2 linked regions of the Mus musculus genome follow. Each later gene encodes a partner of the first gene's protein in a complex. Links are inferred from orthologs where the notes say so. Each region holds a gene or a part of one and is shown in the gene's direction. Other genes may lie near its edges.

What was found. The genes of interacting proteins can lie anywhere in the genome.
Region 2: the proteins of Irgq (region 1) and Gabarapl2 are in contact, whole or in part, in a crystal structure (PDB 8Q6Q), measured with the Homo sapiens proteins. The link is inferred for Mus musculus from reciprocal best matches to the Homo sapiens genes IRGQ and GABARAPL2. Residues at the interface, in NP_001007562.1 of Homo sapiens: Asp7, Thr9, Leu11, Pro47, Leu49, Phe57, Pro70, Trp71, Glu74, Pro181, Ala182, Gln183, Asp184, Gly185, Phe186, Glu187, Val188, Leu189; in NP_009216.1 of Homo sapiens: Ser10, Glu12, His13, Cys15, Val16, Glu17, Ala19, Lys20, Ile21, Ala23, Lys24, Tyr25, Arg28, Pro30, Lys46, Lys48, Tyr49, Leu50, Val51, Pro52, Phe60, Ile63, Arg67, Phe104.

The regions. Positions count from the first base shown.
Region 1 is NC_000073.6:24,529,079-24,533,727, forward strand, and holds the start of Irgq (immunity-related GTPase family Q protein), read left to right. Parts: upstream 1-1,569; 5' UTR 1,570-1,826; intron 1,827-2,305; 5' UTR 2,306-2,307; coding exon 2,308-2,837; intron 2,838-4,187; coding exon 4,188-4,649. UniProt on the Homo sapiens protein: Autophagy receptor that specifically promotes clearance of misfolded MHC class I molecules by targeting them to the lysosome for degradation.
Region 2 is NC_000074.6:111,939,385-111,943,729, forward strand, and holds the start of Gabarapl2 (gamma-aminobutyric acid receptor-associated protein-like 2), read left to right. Parts: upstream 1-1,318; 5' UTR 1,319-1,434; coding exon 1,435-1,468; intron 1,469-1,775; coding exon 1,776-1,831; intron 1,832-3,117; coding exon 3,118-3,290; intron 3,291-4,345. UniProt on the Homo sapiens protein: Ubiquitin-like modifier involved in intra-Golgi traffic. Modulates intra-Golgi transport through coupling between NSF activity and SNAREs activation. It first stimulates the ATPase activity of NSF which in turn stimulates the association with GOSR1.

The DNA.
Region 1 (4,649 bases):
GAGCCGAATGAGATAATCAAGGTCACTCCTCCATACTTGGCATCGAATGCACCCAGTGCAGAGAACACTCAGTCAGGGTCACAGCTGTTATAAAGTAGATGTTATCATTTAAATTAAATTTCATTCAAGTCAAGTTTTCCCCTTTCGACAGCTAATTCCATAACTACCCCATGGAAGTGAGCTGTGATGCCCGTTTTGGTTTGTTTATTAAGACAAGATTTGTCTGTGTAGCCCTGGATGTCCTGGAACTTTCTCTATAGAGCAGGCTGGCTTCAAACTCAGTGAACGGCCTGCCTCTACCTCCTAAATTCGGGGATTAAAGGTGTGCTACCACCATAGCCCGTGTTGCACACGTTTGCTACGGGAAACTGAAGCATAGTCATATTGAAAGTCTAGGGGGAAAGTGGGACAAGAACCCTGGGGACTCATTCCAGGTAATGATATTGCCAGTCACACCCCACAACCCAATCTTCGCCTGGCAGCCCTTTATTCCTCTAAATGTCGTCCTGCTTCTGTTTGTGTGCCCAAATCAAGGGAAATAATTTTGATCATGAGAGGAGGTCATTCCTGGCAGGTAGTCACTGCGGCCACCTGTAGCAGGGCGGGGCGTCGAGATATGGAGGTCCCTTTAGTGTCTGTCACTCCTGCACCCAACCCCTCTTTCTGGCAGTACTCAAAGAGGTCGTCTCCTGGGCTGTCTGGACTCCATTCCTTGGGAGACGCTTGCCCTCTACAGTGTCTTCAGGGCGATGTTCTGATATGAAAGAGAGAGGGGGGGGGCGTGGCTGCCACCAACCTTAGTGGGCCTCGCTCTATTTTTTGACACTCACTGAACTCTAATGACACTCTCACTAGAAAAGCTTCAGCAGTCTCACATGGGAGACTCCTCGGGTTTGTGACACCTCGGTCTTCAAGCCCCTGTGTCCTCATCTTCACGAAACCGAATTCCCTCGAAGGTGGAACTCTTGGTCTTTCTTACCAGCCCCATCCTAGTTTCTCACGTGTCAACCATAACCCCCGCACAAGCAGTGGTGCTCACACTTGAGCCCGCCTTCTCCCAGGAGACATCCTTCTCTGACATTGATTACTGTTTCACCGTAGTCACCGCCGCCCGCGTTCACTAGTTCATTTCTGGATCACGCTGCTCCCATGCACTGCCTTCTGCTCTTAGTTCTTGATGGTCACGGACGCCTCTTGCTTTCCTCCCCGAAGACTGTCCCTTAGCTGCGCCTGACAGTTGGTCGCCACAGCTCTGCCACCGGACGAGAGCGGGATAGTTTTTCCTAGTCTCCAGACTCCAGTGATCTGTTGCACCACCATTGTCCCCGAGTCAGGTTCAAGGTTGCAGTCCGGCACTAATATAGTCACGGCAGGCAAGTCTTCGCAAGGGCAAGTGGAGAGGTCCTTTTCTGTACAGGGGTGCGTGATGATGACGTTGGTTGTGTGCTCCGTACAACGCTAAGCTTACTGCGTGGGCTCATCGCTTCCTGTCCCCCTTTGCCGTACAAACCCTGCACGTACTGCGCAGGCGTATTGGTTGCTGGTCTTGGTGGGGCACCGCCCCAAAACTTTCTGCGCACGCGCATGGGTTTTATTGTGCCTTTGCCCAAACAGCCTTAGCTAGAAAGAAGGAGCTGCCAAAAATTCTTCCTCTCCGCAGTGGCACTCCAAGACACACCGGTCTTGGAAGGAATGACGTCAGTATAGAGCCACCTGAAGGAGTCCGGATGTTTCTAAATCCGGACACTCCTGCCCCTTCAGCCTCCGTCAGCTCGTCTTAAGGGGCTGGGCCTCTGTGCTCTCCAGGCGTGTCACCTCTCTGATCGGTTGGTGATTTGGAATGGGGAGGGGAAAGACCATTCTCGAGTTTGGCAGTCAGGTTTTTGAGGGTTTTTGTTTTCCTTCTTCTGTTTCTTCTTTTTTAAATAGAGAAATGCATTCGTGTGGAGAATGGGCATATACCTGGCTCTCCCAGGAATAGGCCCTGGGGGTTGAGTTTCTAGGTCCTGCAGCGTGACACTGGAGAATGGAAGTAGAGGACAGGCTGGAGGACTGAAGCCTGGATCTACAGTGAATCAGTTAGGAGAGGGTGTTGATTGGTGTGGGGGAGTGCGACGCCTTTAATCTCAGCACTCTGGGAGACAGAGGGGAGAGGATCGATCTCTTGAATGTCAGGCCAGCCTGGTCTACGTAATGAGTTCAGGCCAGCCAGGGCTACACAGCGAGACGCTGTCTTAGAAAAGAAGCAAACAAAAAGTCTTACGTGCTCCCTGACCAATTTCTTTCCCCGCCTCTTGCTTTCCAGCAATGCCTCTGCCTCAGGGTGACGTGACTGCCTTATTCCTGGGGCCTCCCGGCTCGGGAAAGTCCGCCCTGATCGCCGCGTTATGCGGTAAGAATGTGGACACGGTAGAGATTCCCGATGGACGGCAGGACTCTGGAGTCCCCAGCCTGAGAGCTGCGGCTCCGGGCCTCTTCCTGGGTGAGCTGAGTTGCCCACCCGCAGCTCCCGGGCCCTGGGCGGCGGAGGCCAACTTGCTGGTATTGGTGCTACCAGGATCTGAGGGGAGCGAGGAGCCCTTGACCCCAGCTCTGGGAGAGGCAGCGCGAGCCGCCCTGGCTAGAGGAACCCCGCTGCTGGCTGTCCGGAATCTGCGCCCTGGAGATTCCCAGAATGCAGCTAAAGCCCGGGATGAGACTGCAGCCTTGTTGAACAGTGCTGGGTTAGGAGCTGCGCCTCTCTTTGTGCCGCCGGCGGATTGCAGCAGCAGTGACCGCTGCGAGGAGCTAGAGCGCCTGCAGGTGGTGCTGCGGACCCAGGCGGAGGCGCTGCAGAGGTGAGGGGACAGTTCGGGCTGGATGGGGTGGCCTTAGATCCAACTCAGCTACGGAGGTCTTTAAAGTTCTCGAGCCCTGTTCCTAGAGTGTTAGACGCAAGCTTTTCTTGGCTGCCCATTCGTCCATACCCTACTTATTTGCGTAGGACAGCACCCACCACACCCATGAGCACAGAGTTTGAGATCATGGAGACTCTGCCATAAGCAGGGATCACTTTTCTGTCGTTTAAAGCCTGCACCGTCAAGGGTCAACTGGAAAGCCCACCACAAAGGTCCTGTTTCGTGCAAGCTCTCTGGCATCACAAGCCCAGATATATATATATATATGCAAATACTTGTGTCAGACAAGATGCTGGACTCCCATCTCTCGTAACATTTGAGATCCCTCTCCAGCACTCCCATCCTCCTCATTGGCTTGGTTCTCAAGTGACTCCCCTCCCATCCTTCCTTTCGTTAACACCAAACCTTTACAGAGCATTATTTCCGATTGCTCGCCCTGTTCTTCCATTTCCAGTTCCCTCTCAGTTCTACCCTGCCTACTGCCCGCCAATCCACCCAGCCCCTCCCCACCTGCCAGCTGTCTCATTTTATGGTTCTCAAAATGCGACTCAGGAAGGGTCTGCATAAGTTGGAGAGCTGCTTCTCATTTGTTTAGTTAACCTCGCTGGCCCACCAGTACTAGATGAGGTCTCTCTTATTTACATCCACCCTCAGGGACACCATAGGCCATACTGAAATTGCCATTATGTCCTCGCCTTCCTCTAAGCCCCACTCCATAGAAAACGTGTCCTGACCAGCACACCATTGGAAAAGCTCTGACCCCGATCTCTTGATCTGTATCAAGAGAAGTCCAAATAGGGTCCTCATCGTAGTTTCGGTTGGAAACCTGACCTTAGGTTAGTTTACCCGCGGGACCTCTAGGGGACTTAAGCTCTTCCCTGAACTCTCTTAACTTTATGGTCCCGCCTCACCTGGTTTTTTTTTTTTTCTTTCTATCTTTCTTTCTTTTTTTCCTTTTTCTTTTTTTTTCTTTCTTTCTTTTTTTTTTTTTTTTTTTTTGAGACGGGTGTTTCTCTGTATTTCCAGCTGTCCTGGAATTGGCTATGTAGATCAGGCTGGCCTTGAACTCAGAGATCTGCCTGCCTCTGCCACTTGTGCAGAGATTGCAGAGATTAAAGGCGTGCGCCACCACGCCCGGCCGTGCCTTCTTTCTATGTGCATTAGTTCCCTACTTAAATTCTTGAGATTCAGAAAGATTTTTTTTTTTCCCGTAATTGCTCGTTCAGCCCAGCTTTTCCTACTTTTAAAGCTCTGTTGCCTTTGACCGATCTCCCACCCTCTCTCCTGCAGGCTCCTGCCTCCTGCCCAGGATGGCTTCGAGGTGTTGGGCGCAGCCGAGCTGGAAGCTGTTCGTGAGGCCTTCGAGACCGGTGGCCTGGAGGCGGCGCTGTCGTGGGTGCGCGCTGGTCTGGAGCGCCTGGGCAGCGCACGACTGGACTTGGCGGTGGCCGGCACCACCAATGTAGGCCTTGTGCTAGATATGCTGCTGGGGTTGGATCCTGGAGACCCAGGTGCTGCGCCTGCCTCAGCACCCACTGGGCCCACCCCTTATCCTGCTCCAGAGCGCCCCAACGTAGTGCTCTGGACCGTTCCCCTGGGCCCCACGGCCACATCTCCTGCCGTCACCCCTCACCCAACCCACTACGATGCCCTGATCCTTGTCACCCCCGGGGCTCCCACAGAGGAGAACTGGGCCCAGGTCCGCTCATTGGTGTCCCCAGATGCTCCACTCGTCGGTGTGCGCACGGACGG
Region 2 (4,345 bases), on another chromosome or scaffold:
TTTTCCAGACAGGGTTTCTCTGTGTAGCCCTGGCTGTCTGGGAACTCACTCTGTAGACTAGGCTGGCCTTGAACTCAGAAATCCACCTGCCTGCCAAGTACTGGGATTAAAGGCATGGGCCACCACACCCAGCTAACACAAAGTTTTAAAAGTTCTTTAAATTAAATTTTTTTTTCCTTAAGATTTTCATTATCTTCCCTGCATCTGGGTGTGTATGTGTATGGAGGCTTGCCACAGTGAATGCCTTGAGGCCAGAAGATAACCTTTGTAAACAGGTTGTCCTCCATCACTTGGGTCCTCAGGATTGAACTCCGTCTGGCAGGCTTGGCACCAAGCGTTTTTACCTGCTGGGAACTGAGTCTCTCCCCTCCCCCCAGTGGAAAATAACAAATACTTTCAGAATGAAGTTATAGCCACAGCATCTATCAGGAATTTCAACTGTAGGGAATGATTGATGACAAGGTTCAAACACTGGCTCTACAGATGCGGCAGATCATATAAGCACGTGGTCAGGTGGCCGATTAACTGCATATTCATGTTCTGTGTTCACCAGTGCATAAACAGATGGTGACCCAGAGCCGACTTCCTGGATGACTATGCTACGACTTGGACAGGGGTGGAACCTCGAGGCTTGTGCCTAGGGCAGGTGACACCCACAGCTCAGGGTTAGTGCCGAGCCACTCCCACTGCCAGCTCCTTCTCCTAGGGTGTCTTATGACCAGCTCTCCCAGGAATCCTCCCCGCCTGACACTGGCACTTCGCCTCTGACAGTTTCCGATAAAGAATCTCTGTGATCAGGGATATTCCGTTGACTAAATGAGTATGTGTGGTACTTGTTCATAAGTGTTCATGAATGTTTAAAATATGTATTCGTGAGTGGGAAGTGAGATTTGTTTAAATCAAATTTTAGGTGCAACAACTCCTATACTAGACCTCTAGGTGGTCACCAGTACTCGTTGCACACAGCGCTTGGAACAGGTTATCCCTCCATGCCGAGCTCCCGCCTTCTCACCCAGCCAAAAATTAATATTCATTTCTCCTTAAGCCCCAGACTTCCCCTTCCAGAGCCCTTTACAAGCGTTCCAAGCTATGAGCCATGACCTGCCTGTCATGCACAATCCTGAAACTCCATTCCAGTCACTAATTCCTAAAGTCTCCACTGTCACTCACAGACTTCCCAGCCACCTACGTCAGTCTCCATTCCCAGGAGCGCTCCTAGGTCTCCGCTTAGGCTCCGCCCTCTCACGTAATCGTAGCCTACTGAAGCTCTTACCAGGCCCGCCGGAAGCCCCGCCCCGGGAGGTTGCTAGGCTCCGGCAGCCGGAAGTCCCGCCTGTGGAGTAGTCGTCGCTGCCGCCGCCGCCTCCGTTGTTGTTGTGGTCGCTTCGCCGAAGTCCGCGGCTCGAAGAGCCGGCTCCGTCGCTTCCCGTCGCCATGAAGTGGATGTTTAAGGAGGACCACTCTCTGGGTAAGCGCGGTCGGCCTGCGGGGCCCCAGATCGCGGCCCCTCCCCCACTCCCGCCGCCCTGCCGGGCCCGCTGGGTCGCCAAGGCCCCGGCATCCTGGCGCCTCCCACGGACCCGTGTCGCCCTACGTGGATCTCGCTGGGAGTTCCTGAGGGGATCTGTGGCGAGGGACTCCGGGGCTAGGACTCGGGGCGTACGCACGCAGGCAGGTTGCGGGCGGAGAAGGGCGGACAGGAAGAAGGGGTTCCGGCAGCGGCGGCCCTGCTGTCCGGCAAGTGCGAATGTCAGCCTGGTTTTCTTCTTCCCCAGAACACAGATGCGTGGAATCCGCGAAGATCAGAGCGAAGTACCCCGACCGAGTTCCGGTGAGTGTGGACTCCCCGCCCCCTCACCCCGCTGTCACCCTTAGCGTCTAGGAGAGGTGTCGGGCGGGCGCGCTAGGCCGTGCAACAGTTGAGAACTTAAGGTCTCAAGGTGTAGCCCAGAGACCGAGGACAGCCTGGGGTTCCGCCGGCCCAAGCTTGGGGCTTAAGGGGCTGGTGCTGTCCAGGGGCACCAGTGCTGAATCTCCCGATCTAGGGCAGCAAGCTGCTTGCAGCCTCTCGGCTCCCTCACCAATTATGTAAGGAACCGTGTTCTAGGACAGGGCAACAGGTCACTGCCACTTTGGGGAATGATGGTGGAGGGAGACTGGCATTTGGGGTTGGATACGGTAGCATCCTTTCAAGGTAGTCATCTTTAACGCTGGACCTTTAACTTCGAGTTTCTCTTTACCCTGATTCTGCCATCCTTGTTTGACTAACAAATCTGAAATGCTCTCGTTTTGCCTCTAATCAATAAGTATGTTGCTTTATTTCTGCTTTCTGCCCTAGTTGGGGCGATCGTTTCTGATATCACTATTGATTTTTGAAGGACATAAAGTCTTACTATTGTAGTGCTTTGCTTGTAAACAGTCCCTTTGAGAAGCAGGAGGATAAATGTTAACTGTTCAGAGAGAAGCAACAGGCCAAATGAAAATGTCGGCTCTTGGGTGGCTGTAGTTGTATAGCTTTGCCCTTAGTTCATCCATTTCTTTCCAGTGTTGTTGGGGATTGGAATGCTCTAACAGGGTCTATCTATGGATCAAAAGATGACAGATGAAACCCTAGCCAGATCAATCTTTTCATCGGCCTAGATAAAATGTTAGAGAGCTACCCTTGCAGTGGGGTGGCACGTGCCTTCAGTCCCAACATTCAGGGGTCAGAGGCAGCTGATCTCAGAGTTTGGGGACAGCCTGGTCTACAGTTCCAGGACATCTGGGACTAACAGAGAGACCCTGTCTCTGGAAGAAGATAGAAAGCTTTGTAGCTGTGCTTCTCTTACAAACGCTGAGATCAGAAATGAGGAATATCAGTCAGCTCTGGGCCTCCAGAGCGGGGCTTCTTGAGCTGTGGGCATATTGATTTACTCATCTGTGCCGTTTCCCACACACTGCCTTGTCCACACTCTGCTCATCAGACTGGAGCAATCAAGCCCTGTGGGTAAGTGCTGGAGCTCGCTCTCCCTCGCCGTCCCTCTCACAGTGCTGGGAACCAGGTAGCAGCCTTTGTGGATTCCAGGCAAAAGTTGCTCTGTGGAGGACTGGCCTGAGCTTCTGACCCGTCTTTCCCAGGTGATCGTGGAAAAAGTCTCGGGCTCTCAGATTGTTGACATAGACAAGAGGAAGTACTTGGTCCCCTCGGACATCACTGTGGCTCAGTTCATGTGGATCATCAGGAAAAGGATCCAGCTTCCCTCCGAGAAGGCCATCTTCCTGTTTGTGGACAAGACAGTCCCACAGTCCAGGTAAGAAGTGTTTGCTAGCTGGGCCTGTGGCTTGGAAATCCATTCGCCGCTTATAAAACTCAAACCATAGGAGGTGTTCTTAGTACAACTTCTTCCTTTCCTTTTCCTTCCTTCCTTCCTTCTTTCCTTCCCTCCCTCCCTCCCTCCCTTCCTCTCTTTCCCTATCCCTCCCTCTTTCTCTCTTTTGGTTTTTCAAGATAGTTTATTTCCTCCTTTTTTTAATTAGATATTTTCTTTATTTACATTTCAAATGTTATCCGGAAAGTTCCTTATACCTCCCCCCATGCCCTGCTCCCCTACCCACCCACTCACACTTCTTGGCCCTGGCGTTCCCCTGTACTGAGGCATATAAAGTTTGCAAGACCAAGGGGCCTCTCTTTCCAATGATGGCCAACTAAGCCATCTTCTGCTACATATGCAGCTAGAGACACAAGCTCTGGGGGTACTGGTTAGTTCATTTTGTTGTTCCACCTATAGGGTTGCAGACCCCCTTCAGCTCCTTGGGTACTTTCTCTGGCTCCTCCATTGGGGCCCCTATGTTCCATCCTATAGATGACTGTGAGCAGCATCCACTTCTGTATTTGCTAGGCACTGGCATAGCCTCACTGAAGCTATATCAGGGTCCTTTCCGCAAAATCTTTCTGGCATATGCAATAGTGTCTGGGTTTGGTAACTGATTATGGGATGGATCACTGGGTGGGGTAGTCTCTGGATAGTCCATCCTTTTGTCTTAGCTCCAAACTTTGTCTCTAACTCCTTCCATGGGTGTTTTGTTACCTATCCCAAGGATGAATGAAGTATTCACACGTTGGTCTTGCCTCTTGATTTTTCTTGTTTTGCAAATTGTATCTTGGGTATTCTAAGTTTCTGGGCTAATATCCACTTATCAGTGAGTGCATATCAAGTGACTTTTGTGGGTTGTTTCTTTTATGTAGCCTTGGTTGTCCTTGAACTTTTAAACCAGGCTGACCTTGAACTCATCCTGCTGCCTCCCTGGAATTGAAGGCATGAGCTACCACACCCAACTTTTTTTTCCGAGACAGGGTTTCTCTGTG